Arabidopsis thaliana: one gene and its partners. The protein of the gene in region 1 binds, or shares a complex with, the protein of each later gene. Each region holds a gene or a part of one and is shown in the gene's direction. Other genes may lie near its edges.

Region 1 (5,546 bases):
CTTACCTCCACTGATGATCGTTCACCGCTACAAACGCTGGATACTGCAGCAGCGTTCATCATAAGAGGAGACGCAGAACGCTGACGTTTGGTGCGTTTGCCCTTGATGAGGAGAACAAGACGCGCGTGGTCTCCACTCTCCTCAAGAACACTTGTCATGATCCTCCGTTTTTTATTTGCTCTCTGTATTTCAAGAACACAAGAGGTCGTATATGTATATATGGAGAGAAGTATCAAAGAGTGTTTGGTGGGTTTGGTTTATATGTCTAAGTATTTATATATATTTGTATGTGATTGTATTTGTTTATACACACAATAGTATTGTGTGTATATATAATGTAATGGGTAAGAGAAAAGATGAGAAAAGAAGCAAACCCAAAATAACTTTTGGTGAAGGATTCCTTTCTGGAAGTTTTGGTTTGCAAGCCTGGAACCACTTGTTGTTCTCTTCTTGTTTTTATTTTTTTCCTTTCAATTTTTTTTAAATGATTTTCTCTTTTTTTGGTTAACTTTTGTTTTGCTTGTCTTATGAATCACATAAAAAAAAATACTAGTATTTTACTTATTAAATACTCATAAGCATCCTTATAATTTCAAAAGACACACATCATTATAGCTAAAGTAACAAAAATGTGGATTCAATGTCAACACTAATCTTAGAAGATGTTATTTTATTTTCTTTCTGAAAATGAAATTAAATCTGTGTTTTCTGTTCAAGAAGGTGTCATTCTACATATACCATTTTTTCTTATTAATAAAATGAACTACAATTTTGACACTTGGAATGTAATGTATTATATTAAGAAGAATCAAACTGGATTGCGTATTCTAAATATGCCACTCAATTTATTGATTTTTTTTCCTTTGATTTCACATTATCACTAACTAAAATCCTAAAACTTTATAAATAATTTTATATTGATGGCTTGAGTCATCCACAAGTAGTTTCAACACGAAACACAGTACCACAACACACACAATTCAAGCATATTATAAATTCCTGCAAACTTATTACGTTTTGTAACAAATTACATTAAAGATTTGAAACCAACTATTATATATAAAAGCTACTAAAGTACAAATTTAACTTGAAAATACGTCGAATTCTGTTTTTGTTTCTTAATACTACTAATCATTGCGGATATATGTACACTTAAGTTGCTGATTAAATAATTAAGTTAATTAATTGGAAAGTAAAAGGCAATCGAATTTTGGGGTCGAGCAGTTCATGTGCAGTTGAGCCAACCCACAATTACACAACACACAATTATGAATCATGATTCTAGTTATGTATACAATATTTAGTTATAATGATATTAGCTAAAACGAATTAAATATATAATATCACTCCCTATGTTTGCGCCTCTTTCTAAGAAACTTTGATTTTTATTTTGGTTATCCAATTATTTGATCAAACCATTATTAATCTTGTGATTAGCTAATAATATGTATTCGATGAAGTAACCTCCCTTATCGTAGTTTGTAACTGTAGTCTAGGTCTTTGTAGTATAGTATACTAATAAACTCGGTGACAGCAATTTATAAAATTCAAGAAACACATGTTTTTTTAATATTCATTCTACATAATGAGTTTCTTAGAGCTGGATTGATATCCAACTTTTACTCATTCAACTCTATACACATTAGTTGTCTTTGGCTCTCAATGATTATCTTTTGCTAACGTGTTACTATACATACAATAGATCATTAAGAAGAATATTTTTGAGTGTATTGTGAAGCTAGTATCATCACAATTTTAAAATGAATAAATCAGGAGGAATTGATTTAAGTCTTGGCGTCGAGGATTGTGTGTGTGAAAGAGAGATAGAGAATTGCTTGGCCGCCAAAAGAAGCCATTACTTGCCAACTAGCTAGCTTCACTACTCAACCTAAGCAAAGCATATACTTTATAAATAAATAAATAAAATCATAAACATAATTAGTCGTCACCCATCATACATTCATCATCACCATCCTAACAAAACCTTTTTTACAAGGCTTCTCAAAAACCGTTAAGTAGTTGTTGCAACTTGCAAGGATCACCTAAACAAATTATACCGAAACTTGCACAATTGAATTCCAATATTTTAAAAACATTTTTCTTTTGTCATTTGAAGCATATAAAATGGTTCTGAATTCTGATATAGGTGGGTGGAACAGAGTCTTCCCCCATATAGCAAATCCCTCAACGGCTCTAGAAATACGTTTTAAGCTTCACGAGGAATAAGAAGATTAGGAATATATGGGCTTAAAGCAGGCCTGAACTAAATTAAAGGCCCAACTAAAAGAGAGGAAACAAATCTCGATTTGCTTTCTCTGGTGAGCGTGTCTTCTTCCGATCGTCTTCTCCGGCTGCGTGAATTCTCCGCCGAGCCATCTCTCTGGCGAATCTCCAGTGAGTTCTATTATTTTCACTCTGTCTTTTATGCTTCCCGTGAAAGGGATTTTTTTATTTCTCTCCCTCAGATTCTCCTTGTCGCCACCAACTCATTCGTCTCCCTACCCATTTGTGGCCACTGGATTTTTTGTATTGACCTTTCTTTTTTCCTCATGAATCAATTGAAATCTACTGTTAAGCATTTGACGATTTTGGACAAATTGGTGGTGATTTAGGAATAACACGGTTGTGGTGGTGGCGGCTACTTCAACGTGACGATGACAGATTAGTTTCTAGTGATGACAGATTAGTTTCTAGTGGTCGCAGAGTTATTTGGTAGTGATGACATAGTTGTATTCTAATGAGAACAGATTGTTTTATGGCGGTAGACGGATTTGTTTTTGATTAGAAACCCTAATTTTAGGAATCTGTTACTGATTTTGCTTAGTTTTTGATTTGGATATGTAGAGAATAATGGCTACAGCTACATATCCACCTCCTCCTCCATATTACAGACTCTACAAGGATTTCTCAGAAAACACTGATTCTGCTCCTGAACCTCCTCCTCCGATTGAAGGCACCTACGTCTGTTTTGGAGGCAACTATACTGTGAGTCTCCTCCACATTTCCCCCTCTTTAAAATCTTCATCTTTATGTGTTTTTAGCAATTTTCAATTTTTTTGGTTAGTAGACTGAAGATGTTCTTCCAAGCTTAGAAGAACAAGGAGTGCCTCAACTTTATCCAAAAGATTCTAATCTTGGTATGTCATTCTCCTAACTCTGTGAAATCAAACTCAAAATGCAATTGCTATTGGCTGTCTAGAGTATGGTTTTTGGTTCTTCCCTTCATTGGAATCAAACTTATTACATGAGTTCATTTGCAAGTTATGTTCTTTGAAAGTACCTCTTTGAGTTCAAATATCTTTGTGTGTAGATTACAAGAAGGAACTCAGGTCACTGAATAGAGAACTACAGTTACATATATTGGAGCTTGCTGATGTTCTTGTTGACAGACCTTCTCAATATGCGAAGAGAATTGGTGAAATTTCTTCAATCTTCAAGAACTTGCATCACCTTCTCAATTCCTTGAGGCCTCACCAAGTAAAGAAGCTCTCATCTTTCGATTAATTACAACATGGTTTCAACACTTTTTGTTTTTTCATCGTTTTGATCTTTCTCTTGTTGTATAGGCGAGAGCAACGCTTATTCACATTATGGAACTTCAAATTCAACAGAGGAAACAAGCTGTGGAAGACATTAAGAGGTTTGTATATGCTACTTAAGTTTTCTGTCTTTATGGTGTGTTAATAATTTAATATCAATCTATCATCTGTTTAAAGATTCTTCAGAAGCTTTGTTGGTTGTTCTTATGGGTCCGTTTGATGTTTTGGTTGTGTGCAGGAGGAGAGAAGAAGCACAAGGACTTCTTAAGGATGCTTTCGTCACTTTAGATGGTCAATAAAGTATACTTTTTGTTAATCCCATTTTGTGTAAATTAGCGCTAATAACCTATGCCCTCGAAACTTTTTTTAATTGATCCTGTGTGTGTGAGAGAGAGAGACAGACGTGTGCAATCTCATGATTCAACAAGTAAAGCCTATATCATCTTTATTCAATGTTACCCGTGAACCGGCATTTAGTTCCGCCGGTTAGTGCGGTTCAACATTTATTATTACAATTTCGGCTTAACGGGAACTATTATAACCATAACGGATTCATAAGAAGATTAGACCAATATGGGCTTAACGCAGGGCTAAACTAAATTGAAGACCCGACAGTTTGTTCGTAACTACACGTAAGTATCTGAACAACAACAACAGCTTTATAAGGGAATCAACAAAAAATAGTTGAACAAAAAAAAATTAACCTTGTTCAAAGCTAAATCCTGTCAAATATCTTTGGAACCCTAGCAGTCGGTCTTGTCAATTTATCATCAGCATGGACGAATCCGCCATCAAAGTAATCTTCTTCTCCTTATGGACTCTCCTCTTACTCACTCTATTTCTCTTCACAAGAGGATGGAGATGAAGATTAAGATGGATATGGACAGGAGAAAGAGGATGGAGATGGAGAATTAGGAGGGAGATGGAGAATTAGGAGGAGACGAACCTCTTTGTTTTTTTATAATGTATTTACCTTTGTTTGTTTTTGTCTTTGCATGTTAAAAGTAAGTAAGCTCAGTAATCATCACCTGCCTTGATCATGTATGATATGTCATTCTCTGGATGTTAGAAAAAAACAGTAGTAAGCTTAATCTATTAACGTTATCTGCTTTCGGTATTACAATGCAACCTTGTTTTCTAATTTTTAACAAAAATGGATCCAAAGCTATCTTTGAAGGTGATTTTAAACAAGTCATTCAGTTGGTCAACGGGAAGAGTCTTAATTTTGGATTCGGGAAGCAAAAGCCTGGCGACATCGGTTTGAAGATATCCAGTTTGTTTGGACTCCAAGATCAAACAATAGTCATTTTATTATCATTTTTATGCTCCACAATTTATTATTGATGCGCTACATTACCAAGTACTACAAGCTTCAACTTATAAAAAAAGAAGAAGATTAGAACCATATGGGCTTAAACGTAGGCCAGAACTAAATTCAAGGCCCAACAGTTTGTTCGTAACTCATACACACGAAATGTCCCAAACCAGAATAAAATTAGGGAATTAACGAAACAAAAAAGACAAAGAAACCTAGTTCAGAACTAAATCCCTAGATCATAGCAGTCGTTCTTGTCAATTTATAACTGATATAGGAATAAGAAAGAGGGTTAAATGGACACGTGGAGGGTGGAGATTAGAAGTTGGTTTAATGGCTGAGATTGTTTGGATGCTAACAGAAGAGAAAAGAAGCGTTAAAAGGAAGCGAAGAGGAAAAATAATCATTCATGAGATTTGTGTTGAATTGTTATCTTCTTCTTCTTCATTTGTCCTCTGTTTCTCTGAGAGTTCTATTTGAATTCTCATAGCTATTTCTTCATTGTGATAGAGCTGTTTCTACTTCTAAGCTTTATCACATGAGATTTGGATTCTCGTTTTATGAACGACGATTCAATGTGTGTTTGTGATTGGATTAATTGAGAAATTGTGGTTTCTCTGTATCAATAACCATGGACGAATCCGCCATCAAAGTAATCTTCTTCCCCTTATGGATTTTCTTCTTACTCACTC
Region 2 (5,003 bases), on another chromosome or scaffold:
TTTTATAATCCGATTTACGGGTTGGTTTCTTGTTTTTGTTAATGAAAAAAAAAATTAGTTTGATCTTTTATTTCAAAAACTTAATAATATTTTATTTTAAAATTTGTTGGTTCATTCATTTCAGTTTAGTTTGGTACACTGAAATCAGTTTTAATTCTTTTTTTTTCTCATCTGAATTATATTAGAAACTAAAGTAGAATACAAGTTGAAATACATAAGCCAACAGACCAACGGAATATTTTGAGAAACTTAGCTGAAAAAAAGGAAGTAAAACCAAAAACATATATAAGGAAACATTTTAAACCAACGAAATTGAATCAAGAGACAAAATTCAAAAGAAAATAAAAAACTATGGGAAAAATAAGACCTAAACTTCTCCTAAAAAATGTGAACGCCGGAAACACCAATAAGATCGGATAGATTTTACACCGAAGTCAAAACTAATAGTAAATCGACAGAGAGGAAAGCAAGAAGCCGCTGAAACCAGAGACATAAGTACAAACACCATCACACCTCACCCACCAGACCGAGATAGCAAAATGTACTAGGGACAAGGCATAAACCTTGAAGATCTACTAGAGATAATTAAAGCACTAGACACAATCAGTATCGATTCTACTTGGGTTAGCTGATTTTCGAGCCATAAACTATTTCGATTCTCAGCTTTCACCCCCGGACTTTTGGGCCCTTAAATTTCCACCATCAACTTTCATATTCCCAAAATTACATCATCTACTTTCGGATTCATGCTTAAACATACATTTCCAATTGAACCATTCATTTAACCGGGATTAACCACAAATCCGCGTTTACTGTACCGCGATTGCGATTAACCCGACTAATACCCAGACCCGTTAAGAAAACGACGTCGTTTTCATTTCGTTTAACTCATCAAAAAGAGAAAGAAAACGACGTCGTTTTCATTCTTCTTCTTCTGCAAAATCGATTTGGTCGATTAGGGTTCTTCATTCGACAATTTTATAAGAAAATGAGCACCAACAGCTACTACTCATCCGCTTCCAGTTCAGGATTTCGTGTCTGTCCTCCTGGTGTCCCCTCGAAATGTTGGTGTGGAGAAGAGATCATTACATTCACATCGAAAACAAAGGAGAATCCATACCGGAGATTCTACCGTTGTGCGATAGCAATGAAGGTACACATTTCGATTTTGTGATATATTTGATTGATTGAAGGAGTAAATGATTGGAAATTATGTTTTATAGAGAGAAAATGAAGAGCACTTGTTCAAATGGGTTGATGAAGCTCTCTTGGACGAAATTAAGATGGTAAATGAGAAGTGTAAGAGAGTTGTAGAGAATATTAGTGACCTCAGAATGAACGTGATGGCTAATATGGAGCTCCTTAATAAAAACGCTAAGCAGATGGAGGAAGAGCTGATTAAGAAGATGGAGGGTGAACTCTTGACCATGAAGGAGAATGTGGAAGAGCTAGGACATGTTATGGCAAAGTCAGCTTTGAAGACTGTAGGGGTTGCTGTTGTGATTGTTGCATCTATTGTATGGCTTTGGGGAAGAGTGTAGGTGTTGTTGAGGTTTTGGAGTGAAATTGTAGTATTGGATTAGTCTCTGTTATAAAATTGTCGAATGAAGAACCCTAATCGACCAAATCGATTTTGCAGAAGAAGAAGAATGAAAACGACGTCGTTTTCTTTCTCTTTTTGATGAGTTAAACGAAATGAAAACGACGTCGTTTTCTTAACGGGTCTGGGTATTAGTCAGGTTAATCGCAATCGCGGTACAGTAAACGCAGATTTGTGGTTAATCCCGGTTAAATGAATGGTTCAATTGGAAATGTATGTTTAAGCATGAATTCGAAAGTAGATGATGTAATTTTGAGGAATATGAAAGTTGATGGTGAAAATTTAAGGGCCCAAAAGTCCGGGGGTGAAAGCTGAGAATCGAAATAGTTTATGGCTCAAAAATCAGCCACCCAATTCTACTTCAGTGTTTTTTTTTTTAATTAGTTGTCAATTAATTAAAGCAGTAGGTTTAAAGAAACAACAGAAATCGTTCCTTACGAATTCTATGGAATTAGGGCCCAAAAATCCAAAGGAAAGGCCACCTTAAAAGCCCATTTTAAAAATCTTCGAGCCCAAACCCAAAACGCAGAACGAAGTTTATTAAGAACAACAAAACGCCCCAATTCGCAGCGATTATCTGTCGTTGCCACACCCAACAGACTCTGCGTCGCCGGAGAAATCTTGTCGACGGGTAAGTCTCTTCGTTAAAGCTTATGCTTCGTTAAATCGATTAGGTCAATTTTTTCCCTGAGGATTCGCCATTTTGATCCTCTCTGAAATCCAACTGGTTTTAAGTGATTTATGCTTTGGCACTAGTTTTGTTGAGAATCTTGTTTGATAAATTCAGGAATTGACCACCAATTTTGTGCCATTTGAATCTCCTAGATCCTCTCTGAACGTTATATCTTGCTTTTGAGTATATGTTAAAAGTCTAATATGTGATTGATTACTGTAAATTTTATACTTGTTCAAGGTCTTTTAAGGTTTTGGAAGATGGATATAATCTCACAGTTGCAAGAACAAGTGAATACGATTGCTGCTATCACTTTCAATGCTTTTGGGACACTGCAAAGGGATGCACCACCAGTCCAGCTTTCACCTAATTATCCTGAACCACCCGCTACAACTACGGTTACTGATGATGCTACGCCTTTTCCTGAGCAACCTAAGCAGCTCAGTGCTGGCTTAGTTAAGGCTGCTAAACAGTTTGATGCTTTGGTTGCTGCACTTCCTTTGTCAGAAGGTGGTGAAGGTGCTCAGCTCAAAAGAATCGCTGAACTCCAGGTCAAACAAGTCACACCGATATGTCGAGTTCTTGAATCCGATTACTTCTATTTGTCTAACCGCTTTGTCCTGTTTTTTCTTCAGGTGGAAAATGATCTTGTTGGTCAAGAACTCCAAAAGCAACTAGAGGCTGCAGGTAAAAAACGATCTTAGGTTTTCACTTCATTGTTGGTGTGTCTTATCTGTCTGTAACTGGAGCAGATTCATTATGCACTTCAAATTTCAATTTGTATACTTTCTTGTTGATACACGCACTATGGTTAGATGTTATCTTTAGTGGTTCTAGAATTTGGAATTTTTGTTTTCCCTTGCAACTGCCTCTGACGATTGAGCTGATGTTAATGGTGTGACCTTGTTTGTGACAGAGAAGGAGCTAAAGCAAGTACAAGAGCTGTTTGGACAAGCTGCTGACAATTGCCTGAACATGAAGAAACCTGAATGAAATGCTTGTTTACCTTTTGTCGAGCTGATTTAGAAACTATATGATTTGGTTCAGCAACAATTATCTTTTAGGTTCATAAGGAATATCTATTCTAAGTTGGTTCACCAAAAAATTGTTGTAGAAGCAATTACAAGAATGTTAGTTAGCTCACAACAACAGAACCATTATTTTAACCTTACACTTTTTTGACCTGTCTGATTACAATCTCAGAGAATCCACTTTATCATTTTCACAATTACAGGCCATGATTGACACATCATGTTTGATTCTCCGGGCAGTGTTGGTCAAATTACTATGATGGTCAAATTACTATGAACTCTGGTATCTGTCACATTCAATCCAAGTTGCTGAAAAGAAATGACCAGTCCATAAGTTGTGGTCCAAAACCGGATCTTGATTGTGTATTTGTACTCAAGCATGTGAAGATATCCTAACTCATCATCCTTCTTGCGCTCTCTCACAAGACTTGTATAGAGTCCAACAATCTTTTGTCTGCGTGATGAAGCTTTAGGATGAAAAGAAAACTTTAGCCAGTCCGATCAATATTATAAATTAACAATTGTATAAATTTACCAATATATATATTTATATAAATATTATATGTAAAATATTTAGTGAAATATGACTCTACTATTGTTTTTCTTTAATTTTTATTAATTTTTTGTAAAGTTCAATTCTAATACTTTTACTATGTGAAAAAAAAAAATTGTATTTTTTTTTTAAACTTAATAATTGTTTTCTACTTATAATCGGATTAAGAAAGATTATTGATTATAAAGAAAAGATCACTTTTAAAATTAAATTTTTGTAAGAAATTATAAAATTTGTAAAATCTCTTTATAAATTGATAATTATTAATTTATCCATAAATTAATTAATTTTCTCGGTCCCAAACAATATTAACTTATAGATGTTTTACGGTAGTTTGTTGATGAAACACTCATATTCTTTTTAGGTTTCTTCTTGTTGGGTGCTTGAGAAAATGCAGACCGACTTTCTTCGATGATATGTTGTACATCTTTATCATCTATTGGAATTTTTTATATCAATGCCTTGGCACCTTCTGAATCCCCTGCAGCTAGTAGAACCTGATACATCCTGCCAAACCATAAACAAGAACCAATGATATACCGAAAACCTCTTGATCTTTTGGAAACTGATGATCTAGTTATCAGAATTGACTGCATCCTCTTGAAACTAATCGAACCCGTAAATCGAAACCCACAGGACATTGTTGAAGAGGAAGACGTTGAGGCAAAGGTGGCTGTAGCAGAGGGTGCTGTAGCAAAGGTGGCAGAAGTGGTTGTAGCAGAGGTGGCTAAAGCTGAAGTTGTGGCAGACAATCCACGTAAGAGAAAGACGATTGGTGCTAACTACTATATCCCAGACAAAAGACAACGCTTGTTCTGACTTTAGGCGGGAGACTCATCTTAGCTCCTTAAGGTTGTTATATAGAAGACTTTAGTTCTGAGAAAAGAATGATAAATTTGATGTCAAAAAAACAAAAAAGAAAGAAAATTCTTTTTTTTTTAATTGGTCAACAGAATATGGACGTCCATATAATATTTCACTTCATAATTACAATATAAAGAAATTTTGTACAAAATCACTACTTTGTTGATAAAACAATCATTTTCTTTTTTGGTTTCTTCTTGTTGGGTGCTTGAGAAAATGCAGACTGACTTTCTTCGATGATATGTTGTACATCTTTATCATCTTTTGGAATTTTTGACACCA
Region 3 (5,333 bases), 230 kb from region 1:
GTAATCAATCTGATTTCAACTCAAATCTGCAGCTCAAATGTCGCTTCACGTTTCCATGTCCTTTCCTACTCAAATAAATAACCTGCCTGGATATACTCCATGGGATGATGATACATCTGCATTGTTAAACATTGCTGTAAGTGGGGTTATTCCACCAGAAGATGAACTTGATACTCTTTGTGGAGCAGAAGGCATGCGTTCTCATCTGTACTCAGTTTTTATATTTTGCTTTGGTAGTCTAGTCACTCTATCTTCTGAAGTTTTCATATGCTAAATGCGGCTTACATATCATTGTTTCAGTTGATGTTGGATCAAATGACATGATAAGTGAAACTAGTCCTTCAGCATCTGGTATCGGAAGCTCAAGCAGAACACTATCAGATTCTAAGGGTTTGAGACTGGCGAAACAAGCTCCCTCAATGCATGGTAATTATCTGAACAATTGAGGGACTATTTCTTAGTTTTCATTTTGTGGTGGACGCTGTTGTAATGGTTGCTTTGCAGGTCTTCCTGATTTTGCTGAGGTTTATAACTTCATTGGGAGTGTGTTCGATCCTGACAGCAAAGGCCGCATGAAAAAGCTCAAGGAAATGGATCCTATAAATTTCGAAACTGTGAGTTGGAGCTTTACTTGCCTTTAGATTAACTGATATGTGTGTTGCAGCATATCAATCATTTAGTCTTCTTCTTTGAGTTCCCGAATAAATTCAGCTGTGTGAGAAGATAAATATAAAGATCAGTACTTGCAATATATAGATTCACGAGTTGGAAACACCAAAAAGCCAAAGTACCATGATTCTATGGAGATGTTGGTCAAATAATGGGATTGTTACAACCATGAGTCAGTTTTAGGTGTCATGGTACCTATTTGTAGCTGTCAGTGATTGTTCTTTTTCCTAGTATCCGTCACTAATCACAGTTTTTCTTGCAGGTTTTGCTGTTGATGAGAAACCTCACAGTGAACTTGTCAAACCCTGACTTTGAACCTACTGTAAGTTATAATTTTATCATTACTTCTGTGCTCGTTGAGTATGTGAGGCACATTTGTCTTTTCGTGATAAGAATGAGTGAGAAAAAGTCTCTAACAGCTAACAAACCTACTTACTATCTGCCTTGAAGTTTAACTATAGAAATTAAGACTAGTTCGCCTTTAGTGTGTTATGTTTTTAACCGTTCCAATGATTAAATGAGGATTGTTGTGCTCTATGAGATATAATCTAACCATAATTTAGTCTGAATATGTTGATGCTGCAGAGGAAGGTCATGAACACTTAAGCTCTTAGCTGTTTGTGCACTCAACAAGTTATATATCTTCTTGACGACTTCTTGCTCGCAACAACTCTCTACCAGCTATCAAGTAAGTTTGGTGTTATACCGCATCCCTCCGACACCAATATAAAACACTATAATAAGAACGTTCGCATTGACTTAATAGATTATATCGAAACCTAACACCACAGTTCACTAAGGTTTTCACCTTAATGTTTCTCATTTGTTACTGTAGTTATTGTCTCACATGATCGAACGTCATAATAAGAATGATCTGTAGATCATAACTGTTATATTCTCAGCGTTGCTGCTATTATTCTGATTACACTACCCTTAAGGTCTTAAGAATATTGCTCTTACGGTCTACCAAATTGCTATTGATCTCTGTATATGGTGGATTGTGTCAGATGCATTCTACGGTTGTTGTCTGAGGAGAACATAACTGAGTCGTCGTCACAAACAAGAGGAACATATGCAGTTTCGGTCAGAACCAGTCGTGTGAATGGTAGATATATGTATGTGTGTGTAGAAAATGGTTACCAATTGTATCTTCTTTTTGATAATTATTTTTTCATGCCTTTTGTAATATGTAAGTTTCTTTACCTCGTTCTCTGATTGGTTATTTTCTGGTTATCTGTTTAACCAAAAGCTATGTAACACAGTAGCAAATTGTTACTTAACTCGGAAGTGAGATACATAACTCTGTTGTATTGCACTTGTATCAAGCGTTAACGTCCATGATTCGTCTCTGTTATTGTCAATAACAATTGTTCGAAAGCCAGGTTAATGGTAATTAGGAAATTGAACCGTATCGGTATGGTTTTAGCGGGTCTTTAGACTTTTCTAATTGATACTGAGGGTTTGCGAATTTTGTATAAACAGTTGAACACTAAACAGAGAAGAGAAGCTTCGTCTCTTTAATTATCTTCGATTTAAGAGATTCTTTCGCCGTCGGCGAAGATGCTACAGCATCAGATCGTACAATCTCCGGCGAGATTAGGGTTAACAGGTCCTGGCTCTCCTTCCGTACAAAATCCGACGCCTACTCGTCATGGCCATCCAACCTCTTCTTCATCTTCCCAATCTCAGCACCAACAGATCCAACAACAGCCTAATCTACTTCCTTCCTCCACCGTCGCCGCCGCTTCCTCAGCCTCAGCTTCGGCGGCTGTTTCATCCTCCGCCTTGCTATCGCTCCTTCCTCCATTACCGCGAGCTCAAGCTCTTCTCCAGCAGATGGCGGTTTTGACATCTAAGCTCTTCGACGTCTCTCCCAATCGAGCTATCTGGCTCTCAGCTTTCCGTGGCTCTCTCCCTTCGTTCCTCTCCTCACACTCGTTACCACCTCCGCCGCCGCTTGAAAACCCTAGTCCTTCATCCACGAAGGAGATCCTCTCTCAATTCAATTCCCTCCAGACTCAGCTCTTCGAAGCCGTTACAGAGCTTCAAGAGATCCTCGATCTGCAAGACGCGAAGCAGAAGGTGGCGCGTGAGATCAAATCCAAAGATTCATCTCTTCTCGCTTTCGCTAACAAACTCAAGGATGCAGAACGTGTTCTCGATATGCTTGTTGACGACTACTCCGATTACCGCAAACCAAAACGAAGCAAAATTGAAGAAGATGACGAAGACAATGATAATGAGTCTTCTTCTTCTTCAACCACAGTTTCGTCTCAGCTCAAGTTAAAGGACATATTAGCTTACGCTCACAAGATTAGCTACACCACATTTGCTCCGCCGGAATTCGGTGCAGGGCAAGCACCTCTCCGTGGTGCATTACCACCAGCTCCACAAGACGAACAAATGAGAGCTTCCCAGCTCTACACTTTCGCTGATCTTGATATCGGTCTGCCGAAAACAGTAGAAAACATGGAGAAGAAGGTTGAAGCACTGATTGAGCCACCACCACCACCAGAAGCTATGGATATATCTGCTATTCACAACCTGCTTCCGCCGAATATCGCAGTTCCTTCAGGATGGAAACCAGGAATGCCAGTCGAATTGCCTAGAGATTTACCATTGCCACCTCCTGGATGGAAACCAGGCGACCCAGTTGTGTTACCGCCACTGGAGTCAATTGCTGCACCTAGAGCAGAGGATCATCAACATATGAGACCTTCTCAGGGACTCCACAGACCGCCTGATGTCATACAGGTCCGAGCTGTTCAACTTGACATTTTGGAGGATGATGATAGCAGTGATTACAGCAGCGATGATGCAAGCTCAGATGATGAGGATTAATCAACATTGTGATTGATGGTTCTCTGTAAGGTAATGATTTGACCAATGTTACTGCTAATTCTTGATCAAGTTTGATTTTCTACTTGGTTTCGTTTTGTTTAGCAGTGCCTTTATGTGGATAGATGTTAGTATATGCTTCATCGTTATCAGTATCTTTGATGTATCAAAGTTGTTTCTTACGAAAACCCTGGATTCTAATTCAGTTTACAGAATTATTGGTTATCTTTTTTCCAGAATCATTCTTTAGCTTCAAATTTCAAATTATTAGTAAAATTCAGAATGTTCAACTATTGGAGTTATGCAACTTGACATTTTGGATCGATCTCTCTATACGACAAAGTAAAATCCCTCTTAGGTCATACATACATATCAGAGGCTCTTTCTGCCCATTTCTTTATTGTACAGTTTATTGTTCCATTTGGGCTTCTAATAATATAATGGGTTGACAAAATAAGTAGTAGCCCATTTAGATCTAACCTGTTGAATCTGGACTAGCCACGTGGTCGAATATAATTGTAGGGAAATAAAACTAAAATTGTGTTCTTGGAACAAAAAAATATAATAAAAAAAATCTGACAAAAATATCCATTCATTTCTCTTCTTCTTTCACTCTCGGTTGCCTCCTGGTTCTTTTCTAGTTTCTACTACTACTACTACCTCTAATGGCGGACAAGCTAGCTCTTCCTCTTCTCCTTCCCTGCACTCCTTCCTCTAAACCTTATTCTCACGACCAAAACCACCATATCTCTCGGACGCCTTTTCTTACTACGTCTCTTTCGTCACCACCTCCTCCGCCTGTAGAGCCTCTCCTCCACGATGTTTTCCTTCACCAGAACCCTAATTCCAGACAACCCATCAGCTCTCAAACATCTAGAAACCGTAACCGGACTCGAATTGGCAAGTCACGTGACCCTAACCTCGGTAAACCTTGGTCTTACCATGGTCTTTCTCCACAAGGTCAGCAAGTTCTTCGTTCCCTCATCGAACCCAATTTTGATTCCGGTCAATTAGATTCTGTACTCTCTGAGCTATTCGAGCCTTTTAAGGATAAACCAGAGTCTACCTCGTCGGAGTTACTAGCTTTTCTTAAAGGATTAGGATTTCATAAGAAATTCGATTTGGCTCTGCGTGCTTTTGATTGGTTTATGAAGCAAAAGGATTATCAATCCATGTTGGATAACTCTGTTGTTGCTATAATCATCAGTATGCTAGGTAAAGAAGGCAGAGTATCTTCCGCTGCAAATATGTTCAATGGTTTGCAGGAAGACGGGTTTTCGCTTGATGTCTACTCTTATACTTCGTTGATATCAGCGTTTGCTAATAGCGGAAGGTATAGGGAAGCTGTAAATGTGTTCAAGAAGATGGAGGAAGATGGTTGTAAACCGACTTTGATAACGTATAATGTTATCTTGAATGTGTTTGGGAAAATGGGTACTCCTTGGAATAAGATTACGTCTCTTGTTGAGAAGATGAAGAGTGATGGGATTGCTCCGGATGCGTATACTTACAACACTCTTATAACTTGTTGTAAACGAGGCTCTTTGCATCAGGAAGCTGCTCAGGTTTTTGAAGAAATGAAGGCTGCTGGGTTTAGTTATGATAAGGTTACTTATAATGCGTTATTAGATGTTTATGGAAAGTCTCATCGGCCTAAGGAAGCTATGAAGGTTTTGAATGAAATGGTGCTCAATGGATTTTCTCCGAGCATTGTGACTTACAACTCCTTGATCTCTGCATATGCGAGGGATGGTATGCTGGATGAGGCAATGGAGCTTAAAAATCAGATGGCGGAAAAGGGAACGAAACCTGATGTTTTTACTTAT

Evidence for each region. The genes of interacting proteins can lie anywhere in the genome.
Region 2: AT5G03500 (region 1) and MED21 share a complex: the UniProt entries of both Arabidopsis thaliana proteins name them as parts of the mediator complex.
Region 3: AT5G03500 (region 1) and AT5G02850 share a complex: the UniProt entries of both Arabidopsis thaliana proteins name them as parts of the mediator complex.

What each region holds. Positions count from the first base shown.
Region 1 is NC_003076.8:874,965-880,510, reverse strand, and holds AT5G03500 (Mediator complex, subunit Med7), read left to right. Parts: upstream 1-2,135; 5' UTR 2,136-2,737; coding exon 2,738-2,761; exon of another isoform or gene 2,762-2,844; coding exon 2,845-2,985; intron 2,986-3,067; coding exon 3,068-3,137; intron 3,138-3,310; coding exon 3,311-3,477; intron 3,478-3,566; coding exon 3,567-3,640; intron 3,641-3,777; coding exon 3,778-3,838; 3' UTR 3,839-4,071; downstream 4,072-5,546. Other genes in the region: AT5G03510 (C2H2-type zinc finger family protein), read right to left, coding at 1-158; AT5G03495 (RNA-binding (RRM/RBD/RNP motifs) family protein), read left to right, coding at 5,486-5,506. UniProt on the Arabidopsis thaliana protein: Component of the Mediator complex, a coactivator involved in the regulated transcription of nearly all RNA polymerase II-dependent genes.
Region 2 is NC_003075.7:2,430,132-2,435,134, forward strand, and holds MED21 (mediator 21), read left to right. Parts: upstream 1-2,120; 5' UTR 2,121-2,231; intron 2,232-2,513; 5' UTR 2,514-2,533; coding exon 2,534-2,824; intron 2,825-2,908; coding exon 2,909-2,960; intron 2,961-3,189; coding exon 3,190-3,266; 3' UTR 3,267-3,504; downstream 3,505-5,003. Other genes in the region: AT4G04775 (zinc ion binding protein), read left to right, coding at 989-1,153, 1,224-1,541; AT4G04790 (Tetratricopeptide repeat (TPR)-like superfamily protein), read right to left, coding at 4,876-5,003. UniProt on the Arabidopsis thaliana protein: Component of the Mediator complex, a coactivator involved in the regulated transcription of nearly all RNA polymerase II-dependent genes.
Region 3 is NC_003076.8:649,930-655,262, forward strand, and holds AT5G02850 (hydroxyproline-rich glycoprotein family protein), read left to right. Parts: upstream 1-2,118; 5' UTR 2,119-2,229; coding exon 2,230-3,510; 3' UTR 3,511-3,834; downstream 3,835-5,333. Other genes in the region: LCL1 (LHY/CCA1-like 1), read left to right, coding at 33-191, 301-426, 505-614, 932-991, 1,233-1,283; AT5G02860 (Pentatricopeptide repeat (PPR) superfamily protein), read left to right, coding at 4,173-5,333. UniProt on the Arabidopsis thaliana protein: Component of the Mediator complex, a coactivator involved in the regulated transcription of nearly all RNA polymerase II-dependent genes.